Linked DNA regions of Schizosaccharomyces pombe. Changing the gene in region 1 together with any one later gene gives a genetic interaction. Each region holds a gene or a part of one and is shown in the gene's direction. Other genes may lie near its edges. The genes, in order: trm8, pus1, trm82 and SPOM_SPAC12B10.01C.

The links.
Region 2: mutations in trm8 (region 1) and pus1 together harm fitness more than expected from each alone (negative genetic interaction), as found in Schizosaccharomyces pombe (one large-scale study listed by BioGRID).
Region 3: mutations in trm8 (region 1) and trm82 together harm fitness less than expected from each alone (positive genetic interaction), as found in Schizosaccharomyces pombe (one large-scale study listed by BioGRID).
Region 4: mutations in trm8 (region 1) and SPOM_SPAC12B10.01C together harm fitness more than expected from each alone (negative genetic interaction), as found in Schizosaccharomyces pombe (one large-scale study listed by BioGRID).

The regions. Positions count from the first base shown.
Region 1 is NC_003421.2:950,223-954,059, reverse strand, and holds trm8 (tRNA (guanine-N7-)-methyltransferase catalytic subunit Trm8), read left to right. Parts: upstream 1-1,789; 5' UTR 1,790-1,855; coding exon 1,856-1,969; exon of another isoform or gene 1,970-2,026; coding exon 2,027-2,085; exon of another isoform or gene 2,086-2,218; coding exon 2,219-2,867; 3' UTR 2,868-3,334; downstream 3,335-3,837. Other genes in the region: ure7 (urease accessory protein UREG), read left to right, coding at 524-1,384. UniProt on the Schizosaccharomyces pombe protein: Catalyzes the formation of N(7)-methylguanine at position 46 (m7G46) in tRNA.
Region 2 is NC_003421.2:2,118,993-2,123,184, forward strand, and holds pus1 (tRNA/U2 snRNA pseudouridine synthase Lsp1), read left to right. Parts: upstream 1-1,622; 5' UTR 1,623-1,672; coding exon 1,673-2,749; intron 2,750-2,814; coding exon 2,815-3,170; intron 3,171-3,209; coding exon 3,210-3,381; 3' UTR 3,382-3,638; downstream 3,639-4,192. Other genes in the region: Ku domain protein Pku70 , read right to left, coding at 1-74, 146-328, 394-426; SAGA complex deubiquitinating submodule subunit Sgf73, read right to left, coding at 3,759-4,192. UniProt on the Schizosaccharomyces pombe protein: Formation of pseudouridine at positions 27 and 28 in the anticodon stem and loop of transfer RNAs; at positions 34 and 36 of intron-containing precursor tRNA(Ile) and at position 35 in the intron-containing tRNA(Tyr).
Region 3 is NC_003421.2:1,976,504-1,980,879, forward strand, and holds trm82 (tRNA (guanine-N7-)-methyltransferase subunit Trm82), read left to right. Parts: upstream 1-2,017; 5' UTR 2,018-2,391; coding exon 2,392-3,071; intron 3,072-3,144; coding exon 3,145-3,730; 3' UTR 3,731-3,862; downstream 3,863-4,376. Other genes in the region: rRNA processing protein Utp23, read right to left, coding at 720-1,324, 1,509-1,598, 1,711-1,798; rpp0 (60S ribosomal protein uL10), read right to left, coding at 4,126-4,278.
Region 4 is NC_003424.3:4,569,794-4,577,223, reverse strand, and holds SPOM_SPAC12B10.01C (ubiquitin-protein ligase E3), read left to right. Parts: upstream 1-1,580; 5' UTR 1,581-1,782; coding exon 1,783-6,726; 3' UTR 6,727-6,919; downstream 6,920-7,430. Other genes in the region: acetylase Sdg1, read left to right, coding at 289-996; zds family phosphatase type A regulator Zds1, read right to left, coding at 7,101-7,430. UniProt on the Schizosaccharomyces pombe protein: E3 ubiquitin-protein ligase which accepts ubiquitin from an E2 ubiquitin-conjugating enzyme in the form of a thioester and then directly transfers the ubiquitin to targeted substrates.

The DNA.
Region 1 (3,837 bases):
TGTATACTCTTTCAACAAGTTTTTTTTTTTTCGTTTGTAAAACTATTTAGGCGTTATAAATTGTAAACAGTTTCAATGGCGCTTGTTCTCTTATCAAATAAATGACCTTCCCCAACCTTCTTGAAAATGTCAAGTGCCTTACAGTTTGCTTGGATTTCAATTTCTTAAGTAACTCAATTGTGGATAATGCTAACGACCGAAATTTCGATATTAGTGTAGCGCACCTTTTATCTACAATAGTAAATAGCAAATCTGCCTCACCAATAACACTCCCATTTCCTCCTTGGTTTATTTCACGTCGAATATAATCAGTTTTACAATTTCTCGTGATTAATTAAATATTTTTCTTATCCCTTTACCTTCATTTGTATTTACACTTATAAAATCTTACAAATCAGGTAATTTGGAAGCTTGGTATAACTTTACTTTTTGGTTTCCTCTAACTTTCCACATCTGCCAAACTAGGATTTTCAAAATTTTTAAAACTTGCGTAGATTTATTTCACATTCTTCTAATTCAAAACATGGCGATTCCTTTTCTTCACAAGGGAGGTTCTGATGACTCGACTCATCACCATACACACGATTACGACCATCATAACCATGATCATCATGGTCACGATCATCACAGCCATGATTCATCTTCCAACTCTTCCAGCGAAGCTGCCAGATTGCAGTTCATCCAAGAGCATGGCCATTCTCACGATGCTATGGAAACGCCTGGCAGCTACTTGAAGCGTGAACTTCCTCAGTTCAATCATAGAGACTTCTCTCGTCGTGCCTTTACCATTGGCGTCGGAGGACCGGTCGGTTCTGGTAAAACTGCACTTTTGCTTCAGCTTTGCAGGCTCTTGGGTGAAAAATATAGCATCGGAGTTGTTACCAACGACATATTTACTCGTGAAGATCAAGAATTTTTAATTCGTAACAAGGCACTTCCCGAAGAGAGAATTCGCGCAATCGAAACAGGCGGTTGTCCACACGCTGCTATTCGTGAAGACGTCTCCGGTAATTTGGTCGCATTGGAGGAGTTGCAATCCGAGTTCAACACAGAATTACTACTCGTGGAGTCAGGAGGTGATAACTTAGCTGCAAATTACTCTCGTGATCTCGCTGATTTCATTATCTATGTAATTGATGTATCTGGAGGCGACAAGATTCCACGTAAGGGTGGACCTGGTATCACGGAGTCAGATCTGTTGATTATCAACAAAACAGATCTAGCTAAGTTGGTCGGTGCTGATTTGTCGGTCATGGATCGTGATGCAAAAAAGATTCGTGAGAATGGACCCATTGTTTTTGCACAAGTCAAAAATCAAGTTGGGATGGATGAGATCACCGAACTTATTCTAGGCGCCGCTAAGAGTGCTGGTGCTCTCAAGTAATGACTAGATTTGCGTTATTGTACCTGTATTGTTTGAGGTTAGTTTAGTGTGCATGTAACAACGAAATGCTTACTGGTGAATTGGACGCATTTGAATGCATGTCTTTCTTCTACCTCAATTTGTTTTGCATATTTAGATAGAATATGAGCAAATTTTTATATATATTTACAATGTACTTCTAAATTATTAGGTAACATAACATTTCCCTTTTTCAAACCCAATTTGAATAATTAAAAAGCGAAGCGTGAACTTGCGCACTGAACAAGTTTAATTACTTTTTATGAAATGTTTAAAGTATAAATTTTACTAAGTCATTCAAATATCTCTTTTAGTTTTCTCGCTTAGATAAATTTTACACTGAGCTGATTTGAATACAAATTTTTTGGTCTCAGTCAAATTTTTACTACAGCACAGCTAGTTTACTAAACCTTTACCTTTTGGGGTTTTCGTGTGCTCAACTAAAGAGAGAAAATGTCTGCTACAGCCAAAAAATCTGCAGCACAATTGCAAAGGGAAGAAGAGGAGGCAAGGAAGAAGCTGAAACGTTTGTCCAAGCAAGGAGGTGTGGAGGGGCGATTGCCCATGGTATGTTCTCATACAAAATTATCTTGTGTATTGACTTTTAACTAATATTGTTTACAGAAACGTTTGTTTCGTCAAAGAGCGCATGCAAATGTCCTTTCGGATCATGAACTTGAGTAGTAAGTTTATATACAGTAGTTGTGTTTGGCTGAGAACTGTGACCGATAAACTCTTTTTACATATATTTTTTATATAATTTGGGATTACCTTCTATTTTATTTTTAAAAATTTGGTTGTTGCTAACTCTCGCAGTCCAAGAAGTCCGTCTGAAATGGATTGGAGTCCTTATTATCCTGATTTTGATGTTGAATCTAACAAAAAGGTCGAGATCGTAGACATAGGATGCGGCTACGGGGGTCTTACTGTTGCACTTGGTCCCCAGTTTCCTGATACATTAGTTTTAGGCATGGAAATCCGGATGCAAGTTTCAGACTATTTGAAAGAAAAGATACAAGCATTGCGTTATCGTGCAGATCATGAAGAGCCGGTTCCAGGGGGATACAAAAACATTTCTGTTCTTCGTATGAATTGCCAAAAGTTCCTTCCAAATTTCTTCGAAAAAGGGCAACTCTCAAAAATGTTTTTCTGCTTTCCAGATCCTCACTTCAAGGCTCGTAAACATAAAAATAGAATTATCACAAGTACTTTGGCAAGTGAGTATGCTTATTTCATTCGACCCCATGGAACGCTTTATACCATTACAGACGTGGAAGAGCTACATGTTTGGATGGCTCAACATCTCGACGCGCATCCCTTGTTTCGACGATTCACAAAAGAAGAAGAAGAAAACGATATATGTGTTACATTGATGACAAACGAAACAGAGGAAGGGAAAAAGGTTGCACGTAATGGCGGAAAGAAATTTGTTGCATGTTATGAGCGCATTCCAAATCCAAAATAACTTAATAATTGGGCTGAATAATATAGGTTTAAAATAACTAAATTAACATTTATCGCTAACATCATTACACTTTCGCATTGACTTACTGTTTAACTACTCATTTACAAAATCCGTACCTATCCTCAAGCTGGCTCCGTAAATAAGAGAGCTCTTTGCAACTATCCTTTTAACTCCATGGCAATATATTATGAATGCTAAATAAAACAAGAAATCTAGTAAATTTGCAAAAGGAGTAATTTTACATGTTAAGTGCCGAATTTTTGGGATTTTGAAATAAAATCAATTTGTACGGTAATATGACCTACAGCTCTCTTAAGTATTTTCAAGATACTATATTATTACTTGCTACATAATACTTCAATAACCTAAATGATCGAAATTTCAATAATTTTTAATGACTATTTGACATTCTTTAACAGTATACTAGGGCAGGGTTGTGACTGTCCAAGGATTATATAAGTAGAAGCTCATAACAAGAGGTGGTTTGTCAATTACAAAACAGAATGTAAGTAATTTCAACTTGAGTTTTAAAACGCTGAAACAATGTTAAAAATATTACTATGATGAGCAATTTGTGTCGCCCCTATCCGAAATCTGTGACGATTGACCCGGAAGCCAAATCCGATCTCTGAATATTTCTATTGTTTCAAGTGCTTTTCCATGAAATCTTATTATTTGAATAATTTACTAACTTTTTTTTACAGATTCTTATAAGCTTGAGCAAAATAAAATTAAATTCTTCTTTTTGACTCTTTAACCGTGTGTGTGTACTTTCATTTTTTTTTTATAAATTGCATCTTTTTGTAACGATTTGTTTTTGAATTTTAATTTGAAAAATGTTCCTTGCTAGTGATGTTTTTCTTTTATATTCTATGCTAATCATGAAATCTAATGATTATACTTTTATTTATAAAGACTGAAGCAAGCAATTTAGTATTTCAAAAATAAACAAGCAAAGAGGTTGTCGTAT
Region 2 (4,192 bases), 1.2 Mb from region 1:
TTAATACGTTCAGCATCAGGAGGATCAATGTCTAAAAGCATCATTTGATTTGCGAATCGGCCCGTAGAGGACTCCTGCGCTGTGGTTAGAGACATTTAATGGCAGAAGTAAACGTCGGTGAATTTAAATGCAGCATTAAACTTACAGTACCATAGAGCAATACACCCATTATGTCGCTGGGATTTGTGATTACTCTTTGAGCCGCCAGCTGGTACGCACAAATAAGTGCCATCTGCAAAGAGCTGGGAGTAAATTCATCGACAGGATCAAGCATACTGGGAGAAACTTCAATCACAAATAAAATGGCATATTTTCCAATTGCAAAATTCTTTAAACAATCGTCAGCATAATAATTTCAAAACACCTGCGTCTACCAGTCCATATTGGTCATACTTCTGTCTCATCTATTTGTTCATCGTTTTCCATGTAAAAAACAGATTATCAAAAACAATTTCCTTGGCTTTTTAAATACGACAAAAAGAAAAAAGAAGCACGCGTAATTATAAAAACGCTGATATTTTATGTAAACCGTCCGATGATAACGGCTAAAGCACACGAATGAAATAACTATTTCATTAGTATCTTAAATGTCAAATAATTTAATATATTGATATACCAATATGAGTTATTAAGCACCAATTCCAATATTTGAGAAAAATAATAAAATGCACAATGGTGTCAACATTCTAGTGGGTGTTTTACACGCACTGTGATTGTTGCGAATACGTTAAATTTAAAGAGCTCAAGTAAAGCCGTCGTAAGTTGCAACTAATATTAGTTCGTTATAGTTCATTTGTGTCGGCTACGCAGTTTGGTATCTGATTTAAAGATACGTAGAACTGCGGTGAGTTTTCCTTGTGATCTATTATATTACAATACACAGGTTGTATAAGTAGCAACTGAGTATAGGTATTGTATTAACTGGGTTATAATGTTACCTATCACTAATATAGCTCATAACTGAACTGAGGAACGAGGTTCAGCAGTAGCTCTATTTATAGTATTCAGATAATATACATATTAATAGATTTTAATTAAGATCAATATCAATATCGTATCATACATGGTACGATATATAATTAGAACATGTGACATATAGTGAAACGCAACGTAATATATCATAGCTTAGTGTAGTATTGCTGACAATTTGCGGTTTTGTTCGTAACGTGTGGAAGAAAAAAATAAAAAATGAGGTTTATGAACGATGAAAAGGACTAGATTTTTGATATAAAATTGATAATAGGTATACTTTTCTTAGTTATTGGAAGGATTAGTCACGGGTTTCAATTTGGCCTTTACTTCGACAACTGGTAACAAAAGATAAAACACAGAGACAGAGAATAAGCAACAATTAATAGTCAGTCTTAAGTCATTCCTTTTTCAGGCTGATTATTTTTTTTTGGTTTGAATGCTTCATCAATCTGTTTTTGCTCGAAATGCGATACAATATTTAGCTTTTTAATTCTTAAAACTTTTAACTTAAGGTAAGCGAAGTATATTGTTTTATAATTGTTTAGTGAACCATCGTGTAATTATACTCTTATCTTATTGAATGAATAACGATTCCTTGCATTTCATTATTAAGAAAATATACTCTACTATGTTTAAATGAATTTTTACCTGTGCAGCGTAAATTGCGTTTTCATCAAAAACAAATAATATTAACTACAGCATGGGACGTGGTGGTAAACGCACTTGGTACAATGGTGATCGTCGAGAAGCGAAAAGGAACCGACCTAATTCTATATACAATGGAGAAGGTCGGCCAGAGAATTTGGTAGTTGGAGAAAAAAAGCCGAAAAGAAAGGTCGCCTGTCTTGTAGGTTATTGTGGTAGCGGATATCATGGTATGCAATTGAATCCTCCTAGTAAAACAATCGAAGGAGATCTTTTTGATGCTTTTGTGAAGGCTGGTGCCGTTTCTTCTTATAACGCTGATGACCCAAAGAAAGTTGCTTTAGCAAGAGCCGCAAGAACTGATAAAGGAGTTCATGCCGCTGGAAATGTTATCAGTCTCAAACTTATAATGGAAGATGAGAAGTTAATTGAAAAAGTGAACGAACACCTCCCTCCTTCCATTCGCTTATGGGATGTGATCCGTACTATTAATTCTTTTAACCCAAGGACTTATTGCGAATCTCGTATATATGAATATATGGTTCCAACGTATGCTTTTGTTCCACCGAAACCTTCGTCCATACTTGGAAATTGCATTATGAAGAATTCTCCCATGCCTGCTGAGCCAATTAACAAGGAAAATATAAATCAACTCAGTCGTTCATTATTTTATGAAGAAGGAAAGGAATTTTGGGATGATTATGATATTGCAGCCAAAGAGATTTTGAGCCTTTATGAACAGGATCCTGAAGGCTTCGTAAATCCATATTCTAAAAGGGGAGCTGCTGCTCTTGCTAATTCGGAAAATAATAAGGGCTCTGAAGCAGGAGTTTCCGCTAAAACTAATCCAGATATGGATTCCGATTCCTCTGCTATTGTAAACGAGTTTTTAAAGCCTGACTCTGTTGAAGACGAATCTGCTGGTTCCAAGATTGATCCCAGTTATCGTCTCGAACGTGCACTTAAGCACATTGAAGTACTTAAATTAAAAAATTACCGTATTTCCGCAGATAGGCTGTCCGTTATTCGAGAAACTTTAAACCAATATGTTGGAGTTCATAACTTTCACAATTTTACTGTGGGGCAAGCATTTCATCAGAAGAATAGTAATCGCGTGATCCGTTCTTTTACTGTAAGTAAGAATTATCTTCTTTGTATTTATAGTATTCTTGACAAGTCTTGTTTCTAACATTCTAGGCATCTGATCCATTCATGATTGGCGATACAGAATGGATTTCATGTAAAGTTCATGGTCAATCTTTTATGTTGCACCAAATTAGAAAGATGATTGCGCTTGCTATTTTAGTTGTACGAACGGGTTGTCCTGTTGAGCGCATACAAGATGCCTTTAAAAAAACAAAAATTAACATACCCAAGGGACCTGGTTTTGGACTTTTATTAGAGTCACCGTTTTTTAAAGGTTATAATGAACATAAAGCTCCAGAGAATAATCGTGATCCTATCGACTTTACAAAGTACGAGCAAAAAATTACTGCTTTTAAGCATGCTCATATTTATGATAAAATTTTTCTCGAAGAAGCTCGTAAACAAGTGTAAGTATATTTTTTTCTTAAATTAACTAACCGGTTTAGATTTCATTGTTTTTTGTCTTTTATTGACAGTTATAATGAAGAAGATTTCAGTTATTTATCAGATATAGGCATTACTGAAAAGACGCAAGAGGTTTCCTCAAAATTGCCTGATGTTCTTTCTAGCGATGAAGAAGAAGATTCGGCTGAAAACAAGGATGATTTAGAGGGCTAAAGGATTGATTGTGAGACTGAGGATTTGCAACAAACTGATACCATAAACTTTGCTGTTTCTTTTAAAAAATTAGACTACAAACGTGTACATATATTTTTGGAGAATACTTGTTTCTTTCTTTTTTTTAGAATTGATTATTGGTTTTGGGTTCTATTGGTATTTTTATAGTTTATTAACTTCTACTTGATTATTCCAAATGTTAAGACCGTATGGTGCAATATACAAAATAAAAAATGAAAAAATTAATGAAATAGAAACTAGATGAACGGAGGAGAAAATTAAAAAGTCGAAAATGCGTGGTCAAGTAGACCAAAATGTAAACTATAATCTCATAAAGAATTTAAATCATCAACCGAAGCAAAATCAAAAGAATTTCTTTATAGTGGTTGGCGGGCACTAAAAGGAATCACTCGTCCCAATATAGTACCAGTAACTTGCATACCCTGCTCACCATGTCGAAATGCAGCAGCTATTAACTCTCTAGTACGAAAATACGAATGGCGACGTTTTACGGGTAAAAAAACTTTTTGCTCCAAAGGCTGATTGCCAGATTTCTGGAGAACATTCATAATGAAACTGACTTCTTCATCAGAATCAACAGGCGCTTGATGCTGATTATCTTCGGATTCTTTTGCAGTTTCGAGGATTTGTCGTTGTATTTTTACTTGGTTTTTCTTTTGACAAGCTGCAAGCAAAACATCGTATGGCTGAGATCTTCCCGGAACGGCTCGTTTGCTTGACATTGAATGCGTTTTACATGTGAGAGATCTGGCGCACATTTGCCCATTAGGAAGCAAAACACCGCATTGCT
Region 3 (4,376 bases), 1.0 Mb from region 1:
GAAAAAACAATTTATGCTCCTTTGGTGTTGTAATACAAATAAGCGCTAGTTAAAGCTCAGAATCTGTATCAATCGCAAGAACGAAAATGACCGCCAAATGCAAATTATTCGAGTTTAACGTTACATAAACGCGCAAATCCACGAACAGTATGATCTTTTCAATACAAAGAATGCAGAGATTTAAGGTCCTGTTGGGTTAATAGAAAACTGTTAGCAAAGTATGTATTTAGGCCAGTAAACTGCGATATTTTTTTTACTGAAATACGTTAGCATTCACAACTGGGCTTACAGTTTCTCCCCTAATATATCAACGATTGAAATCTTTTTAAGATAATCTAACCTTTTATTTAGTCGAATAAAAATTTCAATTTTCTCTTTAAGCTAAATTTGGTTGAAACTGCTTTTTTAGGTCGCTTGGATAATTGCTTCCTTTTCTCTTTCGCTTTAAACGACTTTGAATCTAGATGAAAAATGGTTTACAACTTTACATTTGTGATGATTACATCGTAAATATTTACATTGTGCCTATACCCAATTTTTTTTCTTCGTTTCTTTAGCCACAAGCGTTAGTTGAAAGTATTGTTTACACAGGAAGGGTTGAATCAGAAACATTGTATGTATGATAGCGTTATATTAGTAGACAACACTTGTAGGCAAACCTATCCCGAAAAATTTTATTTTTAAATATATACATATGCTAATTTCCAACAATAAGCAGTCTACTTTCTTTTCCGACGATGTTTTTTTCTTTCACCAACATCACCTATTATGTTTACAGGTAAAGTAGGTTCATCCGTTGTATGGTTTTTTGATGATCTCTTTTTGATGCTTAAAGGGTTAGGCCCTTTAGGACCCTTGCGTTTTTTATTGGCTTTTGGAGCAGAATCCTCTGTTCCCGCTAAATCCGTACTTTCCTTGGTATCTTGATCATCGATAGCCAGTTCATTCGCTGAACGCTTTTTTCCGGATAATAACAACTTTTCCTCTTTTGACATGCCCATCTGAACGGATTCTTTGTTGTGCTTTTCTAATAACGTAGCTCGTGAAGCTGGTTCTAGTATCACAACTGACCTTTTCATATATATAAGTGGAACACCTGGGACCGAACGAAGAGCTTGCCTAAGCTCGGGGTCTTGGGTAGCAACAACATAGCGGTGCTTGTTCCGACCATTAATGTTGACTACACTCTGAATACATTCTGAAGGAGAGAGTGCTTCATCAATATGACCACACCTCCTTCGCTCAAAAGACTTTGCGATACGAATTTCTTGCTTCAATTCATCGGATTTACTGTACAATTGCCGAATACAACATTGAGTAATCACTATAGTCAGTTAGTAAATCCGTTAGTTATAATAATTTACAAGGAGAACATAAGGAAAGAAAATAATAAACCAGACCCGGATGAAAAGATACTATGTTGAATAATTAAACTTTCCGTTCTGTTTCATATTCCGGGGGTTCGCCCTTTTTTCCAGTAAAAGAAAACACTTATAAACAAAACTTACTAGGTTTTATAGCTCCTTGAACAGTCCTAGCTAATGCAGCTTGTATATCAATCTTTTGTTGAGATAAATCTTTTAGGAAATCTGCATCCACTAAAAATCATGTTAGTTTAATAACATCACCAAAAAGAAAATGCTTATTGTTTGCAAATTAGAACTTGGGTAAGGATGCATCTTTACAAGCATCATTTTCTGTACCACATACCGAGTACTTGATATGGTTCACGAAATCCAAATAAAAGCTGATACGTATGCATCAGCTTTCTGTAATTCTTTGCCCTTTTTTGCCTCATATTTACGCCCTTTTCTGTGCGTCACACAGCCTAAGACTTAATATGCTTTAGATCACTTGTTTTTTTAAGAATTTTTTTTTTCGCTCAAAAACGAAAAGTCTTTTGTTACTATTAGAAATATTAAAAAAATAAATTCAATCGTATTAAAAGAAGTATCCAGGAACCCTAATATTGCTGAAATCCTCTTATTAGGAAATTTCCAACTAGTTTGTACTTTCCAAGTTCACCCACGTACTAAAATTTTGGGCGCTTTAACTATTTAACTTAAGTGAGATACTTGGCTTCGAACTGAGTGTATACTTCTTTTATTTCTCTATTTAGATAAATTTGTAAGGAAACGGTATTAAGCAGAAAGAGGATTCAGTCTATTATTTACCCTTATCATACTTTTTCTTCATTTCTACTGCGTAAATAATTTTAAAGCTTTGCTTTTTATTATTTGAAAGATTTGTCATTATTACTTTCTTTCTTCTAAAGCTTCTTTTTCTTCTTTTTATAAAATTGTAAATATATTCGGATCCAAAAATTAGAGGTTTATTTCTGAAGTGTTTGTTTTGTTGCTTCTATTTTCTTAAGAATCAATCAATAAAAACATGAGTGAACAGCGAGTTTTTAAGCACCCTTGTCAATTTTTAACATGGAATTCTAAACACAATTACATCGTGTGCTGTTCAGGTCCATATCTATTGGGGTTCTCATGCTCTACAGGGGAAAAAATTTTTGAACATTGTTATAGAGACAATATAAATGAAAAACATAGAGAGGCAGCTGCCTATGGAGAAGCGATTCGTCAAGTCGCATTTTCTAAAGACTATTCTCGTATGGCAACAGTTAGTGAAGACAAATGTTTGCGCCTTTGGGATAGCACTCAGCCTGATAAAATTGAACTTCTTTATCAAAAAAACATACCAAAGCGATGTGCTGACTTGTGCTTTGCGGGCTCAAACGAAATTGTTTTTGGTGATAAGTTTGGTGATGTCTATTGTGTAGACGAAAATTGGTTTACTACTTCTGAAGTTACCGAAGAAAAAAAGTCAAATGTGGTTGAAGGAAAACAAGAACCTGTTAATAATGACACTTTAAAGGATTCGAAATTGCAAAAACTCGAACCCATTATGGGGCATGTTTCGATCTTAACTCAATTAATAGTTGCTCAAAATCCACAAAATTCTAAAGAAGAAATAATCATTACTTCAGATAAAGACGAGCATATTCGTATTTCCCGATTTCCCAATGCATTTGTCATTGAAGGGTTTTGCTTAGGTCATGAAGAGTAAGTTTTCATTTGGTTTTAGTTGATCAATTTTTTTTTTTTTTTTTTAAATAACACTAACGCCTTTTCCTAGTTTTGTATCTAGGATGTCCTTATATGACAATCGTACTCTAATATCTGGCGGTGGAGATAATCACGTTTTCGTATGGGATTTAGAGAATTTCAAATGTTTGGATGCATTCGATCTACGATCTGCCTTTTCCACTTATCTCTCATTAAATCAACCAATGGTGGTTTCAGTTATTCTTCCTATTTTTAAGCGCCAGCTTGTTGCTTTTGCGTGTGAAGGAATGGCGGGTCTTATCTTCGCGAAGGTGACACCTGAAAAGAGACTGTTGTTTCATTCTGCTTTGAAGCTGTCAGGGCCTGTTCTTGACGCTGTTTTGCTTGACACGGATACTGATCAAATTCTCATTTCTTTGGACTCTAGTTTTACATTTGGTGCATGTTTTGAATGCGTGAAATTTGATGAAGGGAATGCGGCTGTTCTTACGAAACCCGATGTAATAAAGCGTATAGAATCTGATGGTTTAATATCAACCGAAAAGCCGTTCTGCCCGCTCGCTCAAATTCACACATTACGCAAGAACCACTCTAAATTCATTCGCAGTGTTGAAACCGGTACATCTTCGCCATCCGTTGAATCTAAAGATAATTAAAGCTCATTTTAGGGAGACCGGCTCAAAAAAAATAATTGGGAAAAGTGGGAGCATCAGTAAATATGGAAAATAGATATGAATAAAAATGATTGTGACATTAAAGTATAATAGGGAGAGCATTTAATTTCTTTGGAGAAACCCAGAATTTTGAAGTATAAATACAGTCAGCGATTAATAATTATGCGAATAAACGCAACTTGTATCTACTGCATAAGTGCAACTGCTATTCAGTTGTGCAACGTCAGCAATTTGAAGAAGTAAAATTAATCGTTTATTCAATTCCTTCCATTTACATGCTACGACAATACTTTACATAATACTTGCAACGGCAAATTGTTTTTAGAAGGCCTAAAGAACACGAGATACATCCATTAGTGCTATCTAACAAAAAAAGCTTAGTCGAAGAGACCGAAACCCATGTCCTCATCGGATTCCTCTTCCTCTTCAGCAGCAGCCTCGGCAGCGGGTGCCTCAGCTTCACCACCAGCAGCAGCAGCAGGAGCAGCGGCGACTACGAAAGCAGAGGGATCAGCAAGGAAAGCCTTAGTCTAAAATAAAGTTAGTGAACTGAGTACAAAAATAATTTAATGATTCAAAGAGTTTAATTGTATACAAGCGTTCAGCAAAAAATTAGAGTGTTTAAACT
Region 4 (7,430 bases), on another chromosome or scaffold:
AGCTAGTTGACCCTAAATGTGATTTATCAATAGAATCAATAATCTCAATCATTTAATAAGAGGGTAGATTTGATCAAATTCTAGTTGTATGAAATTACAATTCGCAAAAATTGACTGAAACAACCAAGGGTTGGGTAAATCTATGGTGGTATAATGGCTTCATTCTTACCTACTCCACTTACGAACCTCCATCTTCTTAAATTTCACAGTAGAAGGTAATTGTAAAAGAAATATTGTGACAATAAATTTTAAAAAGATTAGCAAAAAAGAATATTTAATTACATAAAAATGTCGAATGTGCAACGTAAAAGAATTGATATTCGTCGTCCCACCCTTGCGGAGCTGTCGAGTATTCGATCGATTGCCATGAATGCGTTGAACGGTCAATCGAGAAATCTCTCTCAAAAAATCTTTTGGCACCCGTTGTATCTTGCGGTTTTTGGTTTGGTGTTTATGGGGATATATCGCTTAACAAACATGGTAGAAGGAAATACAAAATTACGAACTTTTGTTTTATTAATATTGGTTAGCGCTGTCTTTTTGACGTTGATTGAATTTCCCTGTAGAAATGTGTATGCAAAGATTAGCACTGAAGACAATCAACCTGACGGCTGCTTGGCTGAAGAGAATCTTAAACATTTTTATATGGCCCGCATTGACAAAGAACGAGTTATTGGTATTATAGGTATCTTGCCTGCAAATGCTCCTGGTGCATACCAAAACACACCAACTATTGTCCACTGGACTGTCATTCCTAAATTTTATCAGTATGCGTTTGATCTCCTAGATTCAGCACTTCGTGAGGCGAAGGAGATGGGTGCTGACGTGGTCTCAGCACGAGTTTATTCAACCGACCCAATGTTGAAGGCTTTTGAAAGAAAAGACTTTACTCCTGTAGTTGATGAAGCTTTCGATTATCTATCGTTTTTCGGATTGCGCCGTTTAGTGCTTCAAAAGAATTTGAGCGAACAACCTGGTTTTGAAAATAGAAGATAGATTATTTAACTTTCCGCAAATATTACCCTTTCGTGCATGTAATTGCGCAGCTACAACTTGTTTTTCGCTGTATGTTCATATTTTAAATCTTTTTGTTTTGTGTTTATTTTTTTCGTGAAATAGTTACGAAAGAATTTCACGACGTTCAAGTAAATTTCTACCTAGGGCAAAAACTAGACCCACCGTGTTGTTGAATAATTGTTAAAAGTTTTAGAAACTATTTCATTACGTCCGCTCCATGTTCAAGAGTTCGTACCCGCTAGACTGTACAAAACAATTTGAATGTAAACTTAATATTATATAACTGATGTATGTTAGTGAATACTAAGTGAGCATCTCATTTCACTATCGTCAATTATGCTTGTAAAAACACAATCGATCGACTACAAAAGTACGTTTAACGAGTGTGAATCAAAGCTGAATCAATAAATAAAATACAGCATCTTGCAAATAAAAAACAAATTTAAAAATATTTAATGACAGTAAAAGACAGAAAAAAACAATAGTACTTAGAGTAATAACGTATTACTATAACACATACTACGGCAACATAATGGTGCGCCCTTGTTGTCGACGCTTTTGCCATCTCCCTATGTCAACAGCACATTCCGCCTTAAACAAGAGATCATAGAAGGATCAAATTAAAACTGGGATTTTGTCTCCTTGGTTCAGAAATTACTTGATTGTTTTGTTGGATTGTAATTAACAATCACTCCAATCGCTCGCCGAAAGGCTTCCAAATTTTGTTTATTAAATTAGCCTTTCTGAGCGACATTTTGTTATTTCATGTCTGTTCAAGCGTATACGAATACTCCGAATTTACCGAATTTAATACATAGTGAATCTATAACCAACTCACCTGTGTTTATACCAAACCTACGAAGTAAGTCCGACAACAAACATAGATTAAACACTTCTGAAGAATTGCCATTTACAAAGAAACGCAGAGCAACTAAACATTTTTTAAAAATGGAGGTATCTGCCAAAATTTCTGAACCACCTTCTAGTAAAAGTGTGGAATTTGGAAGGCATTTAAATATGCGGCATGATTTTTCCGAATTGCTTGAACAACCACTTACAACGAGCAAAACTAGGGTCTTTAAATCCTTTAATGAAAAGCTCAAAGGTAAACCCCAGTTAGTGAAATCCGATAAAGGTGTGTTGCCTCTTAATAAGCAATCGGATATACTGAATTCTTATGAACGCGTTTTAAGCAATGCTTCGGTTGATTCTGCATTAGACAAAAAGGCGGAAGTTGATATCATTCCATTTGATAAATCAGTTATGGAACCAAAGAACATAACTTTTAATGACAAAAGTGGCTTAACCAAGTTTGGGAATTCAAACTCTTATGAAACTACGTATTCTGACTCCAGCAACTATCATACTTCTACTGATTCGTCCCAATATAATGACCAAGATGACCACGTCTATGATGATACTAATGATGGAACTGATGATGATATAAATAATAACGAGTACAAAGACGATGAATCCAGTAGTGGCAGTGAAAGTTATGAAAGAGATGAAGATGTTGATGAAGAGGAGGAAGAAGACGATGATGAAAACAATGATGAGGGAGACGATGAAGATGAAAATGAAAATGACGAGTTAAGAAGCGAAAACGGTTCACCTAATCCTTCAGCCGCTGTTATTAATGAACAAGAAAACATGAACATGAGTGGAATCGAAGAATACGATGAAACTAACTTGTTAAATGAACTGGGAAGAATCAGAAGAGGTAATCAGTTTCAAAGTTTAGCGTCTTCTATACTTTCTTCCGGTAATTTGGAGAACTCTGATGACGAAGATGTTTCTTTAGGTCCACAGACATACCGTTTCAATAGTTCCTTTCATCCTTTTCGTTCTGCATTTTCTGCTCCAGGTGTTCAATTTGGACGCTTGTTAGAAGGAATAAAGGATTTTAGTGATCCTACTGTTCAAATGCTTTCTCTTCAAGAACTTTCCGAAGCGTTTGCTATGAGTACTGAAGATATGCTTGTTGGATTGTTTTCAACCGATTCATACATTGCGGCTTTTTCCGAAATCTTATCTGGGCGAAATTATGATTTCGGAGAAGTCTCTATTCAACTTATGCTATCCTGTACTACCTGTGTATCTAATATGATGGAAGCTTTGCCTTTATGTATGGCTAAAATAGCATATAGTCCTATTGTTCGCATTCTGTGTGAAAGAATGTTTGATATGCAATACATTGATATTGCTGAACAAGCTTTAGGAGTTTTAGAACGGCTTTCTAAAGATTTTGGTATTTGTATTTTGGAACACAGAGGAATGTTAGCTGCTCTCCAATACTTTGATTTTTTTTATACTACAGTTCAACGGACAGCTATTTCTCTGGCTGCTAATTGCTGTAAGTTTTTGGATGAATCCAATGCTTCCGCAGCAGAAGAAATTATTCCATTGCTTTCTAATATTCTACAATCTTCTGATACCATAGTCGTTAGTAAGGCATATTCTTGCCTGGAGACAATTATTGAATCTTTGAAAACTTCACCAAACATAATTGAAACGATAATTTCCGAGGATTTGATCACCACTATTGTCAATGCTTTGACTAATTCTACCTCACAAAATAAGTCAATGCACTTACAAGTGCAGCTATTACATATAATATCATCTTTGTGTCAGTCATCTTCTGCTTTGATTTTACCTTTTCTTAACCATAATTTGCCGGATGTGATGTACGAAATGCTGTGTGGAATACCACCTTCTGATACATCCCATCAGGCTGATATGATTACAATGCAAAGTTTGTATTATTGTCCGATCGAGTTAATAGAAAACTTGTTAAGAGCTATAACTTCTTTGCTTCCTAAAAACACTAGTAACTTGTCTGATGAATTTAACACGAAACTATATCGATTAAACAGTATACTCTTAACTGTTGTAATGGACATTTATTTTATTGTGCCCCTTCATGATATCCGATCGTTAGCTGTGACTACGGCATTGAAAATGTTATGTTCAATTAGGGAAAATAATTTAGATGGCTTAGTTTGTTCTCTTCCTTTATCATCATTCATTGCTTCAATTTTAAATTCACGCAAATCTGACAATTTCTTGAAGCGAGATGCTTTAGAAATGTGTCTATTTTTGCTTGAAGCACTTCCTAATGTTTATTCTTCGTTATTTATACGAGAAGGCGTTGTACAGGAGGTTGGATTTTTAGTTCGCTCTACCAATGCAGACATGAAGAAAATAAAGTTAAGTATTTCCTTTTCACAAAACAAATCTGCTGCTCGTCATGAGGAGTTGAAGAATTTATCGACGTTAAAGAGCCTTGCCAAGGAGTTTCTCTCTAATTATAAGGAAGAAAATTTAGAAAACTCAACATTAGTTCAACTTAAACAATTGTCTAAACATTTATTAAGTGAGACCAAACAAGACGAATCTTTTTCAGAACTAGCCAAAATATTTCAAGAAGGATCTAATATTACTAGTCATGAATTACTTCATTCTGGATTAATTCATAATTTGCTTTTATCACTCAAAAAATTTGGAAGTTCATCTCTTCGAACATTTTTGTTAGCTATGAATACATGTGATGAACGCGAAGTTTTAGAATTTGGTAATGGTCCCTTAGTTTCACTTATCTTTTGTTTGCAAAATCTACTTTCAACTGTTGAGAATTTTCAACTTTCAACGTTACCCCCAGATACTGAGAATGCGGTAGATCATGTTTTTTCGCGGCAGTTTAAACTTCGTTTAATGGCTCTTCCGGGATCAAGAATTCGACCACCTTTCCGATCTCTTGTCGTTTCTATTAATGGGCTAGCTACTATTCGTACACTTGATAATTATCTTCACAGTCGCATTTCTGTGCGTAATGAAACTGGACGTCGTTTTTCAATCCTCCGCGAGGCCGGTTCTTTGAGGGAGTCAATGAGTGGATCATCTCGTAACTCTTCAGGAGACTATACTGACTCAATGTCTCAAGATGCTCCTAATCACACAACAGAGCCATCAGAGCGACGTGACTCCTCGACATCATCACATTTCGAGGAACATTTTGTATTCAGTTTGATGGGTAAAAAGGTACCCCGAAACAAAACAATATTCAGAATTTTATATGAGTATATACAGTTGTCTGACGATCATACTCTCGATGATTTTTGGAAAACTCCTGTCCCAATATTTTATGGTGAGCCTGATTGCATTCACAATGATATGAAAGGGGAGTTAAACTATGAGAATGAAACAGAGGGATTTTCTATAAATATTAGAGAAATATTGGATTTATTGAGTATTTTGTATTATGGGATTAGAGACGTTCATACCCTCTTTCCTGACAAACATTTCCGTGGCAACATTGAAAACATTCTTACAGATTTTAGCAACTGGAAGTTGAGTGCCAAATTGAATAGACAACTTGAAGAGCAACAACTTGTTGTTCACGGTTGTTTACCCTCCTGGTGTATATCACTAACCTCTGCATATCCATTCCTAGTACCGTTTGAAACTCGATATCTTTTATTGCAATCTACTGCTTTTGGTTTATCAAGATCCGTTTCTTTTCTTTTGTCCCGAAATCCTGAGCTATCAAAAAACGAAAGTTCCTCCATACTTCAATTTGTCAGCTTACATCGCCAGAAAATTCGTATTTCTCGGAAAAAAATATTTAATTACGCTTTGCATTTGCTTGCAACTTATGCGGCTTCTGAAAATATTCTTGAAATAGAATACGAAGATGAAGTTGGTTCAGGTCTTGGGCCCACTTTGGAGTTCTATACTTCAGTATCTAAAGAATTTACCTTAAATTCTCTCGATATTTGGCGGAATGATCAACCCAACTCTAAATTTGTGTACCAAGCGTCTGGACTTTTTCCTTCTCCTATTCCATTATTAGGGTCCAGTCCAGAAAATGAAAGAAAAATTTCGTTGTTCTTTGCTCTTGGACAGTTCGTTGCACGCTCGATTTATGATTCAAGGATAATAAGCATTCAGTTTAATCCACTTTTCTTTGCACGAAATATACCTTTAACCATTTCCTCTGTAGCGAAAGTTGACAAGGGCTTAGCTAACTCGTTACGATATTTAGAGAAATTAATACCGGGTAAAAACCCTACAAACGCCGAGACGGACATTAAGCTTGAAGACCTTCATCTCGATTTTACTCTACCGGGATTTCCGTCTATTGAACTCATACCTGATGGAGCTAGTACACCTGTGACAACATTCAATGTGAGTGATTATTTAAATTATGTCATTGACTATACTGTTGGAAAGGGTGTTCAACAACAATTAGAAGCATTTCAAAATGGGTTTTCCAGCGTTTTTCCTTATACTTCTTTGCAAGTTTTGACAGAACATGAATTGGTCACACTATTCGGTACTGTCGATGAGGATTGGAGTTACGCGACCTTGATGAAATCTATAGTAGCAGATCACGGTTACACCATGGAAAGTCCTACAATCCAGAGATTACTGACTTTGATGAGTCAAATGAATTTTCAAGAACAAAGAGACTTTTTGCAATTTATTACTGGAAGCCGAAAACTTCCTATTGGAGGATTTGCTGGCCTAAATCCCCCGTTAACTGTTGTTAGGCGCTTAAATGAACCTCCTTATGTACCTGATGATTATCTTCCAAGCGTGATGACTTGTGTGAATTATTTGAAACTACCTGAGTATTCTTCAAGTGAGGTTTTAGGAAGTCGACTTTCTAAGGCTATTTTAGAAGGACAGGGCAGTTTTCATTTATCCTAAGCATTGTTTAGAAAAAAAAAGTTATTGTATAGCACTTCAGTAGCGTTCTATGATTACTTCAAAATAGAGGCTATGTACAAATATAAAGCGAAAAAGAATTGGTAATTTATTATAGAATGGGTAACTTCGTACTCCCCTTACAATGTAAAGTAGCATAGCGAATGAAATTCATTAGAAACTTATGCATTGAGTAAGAATTTTATATTTAACTCATGAAAATAAATAACCACCTGCTTCCAGAAAGTGTTGGTGAACAAGATACAAATTTTTAAAGACAATGAAGACCCTGTAACATATAACAAAAGTCGCCAAATGCTAATAATTAACCAATGAGGAAAAATGTTAGACCAACGAATAGCAGTAGGGTAAAATGATTATTTAGCATTCTTTGAAACTTTTTGAATATTTTGAGAAACGGTATGAATAGTCGATCCTTTCCTATTAAGATTTCGCTTACGCTGATCTCCAAATTGATAACTGAGATTCTCCAGCTCGTTTTTTACATTTTCTGCTGAAAACTCTGAACGCCTTTGTTGTCCATTAATGTCTTTGCGTATTGGTTTAGCAGTAGACTGTTGTACATTATTCATCGGGCGATTTGAGCTAATTCGAGAAATTAAATCTAAGTATGAATACATAAAGTTACTTAAGAGAACTTGTTGAAACAATGGGCGATGCGCGTTTGACAACTTTATATGAGAGAG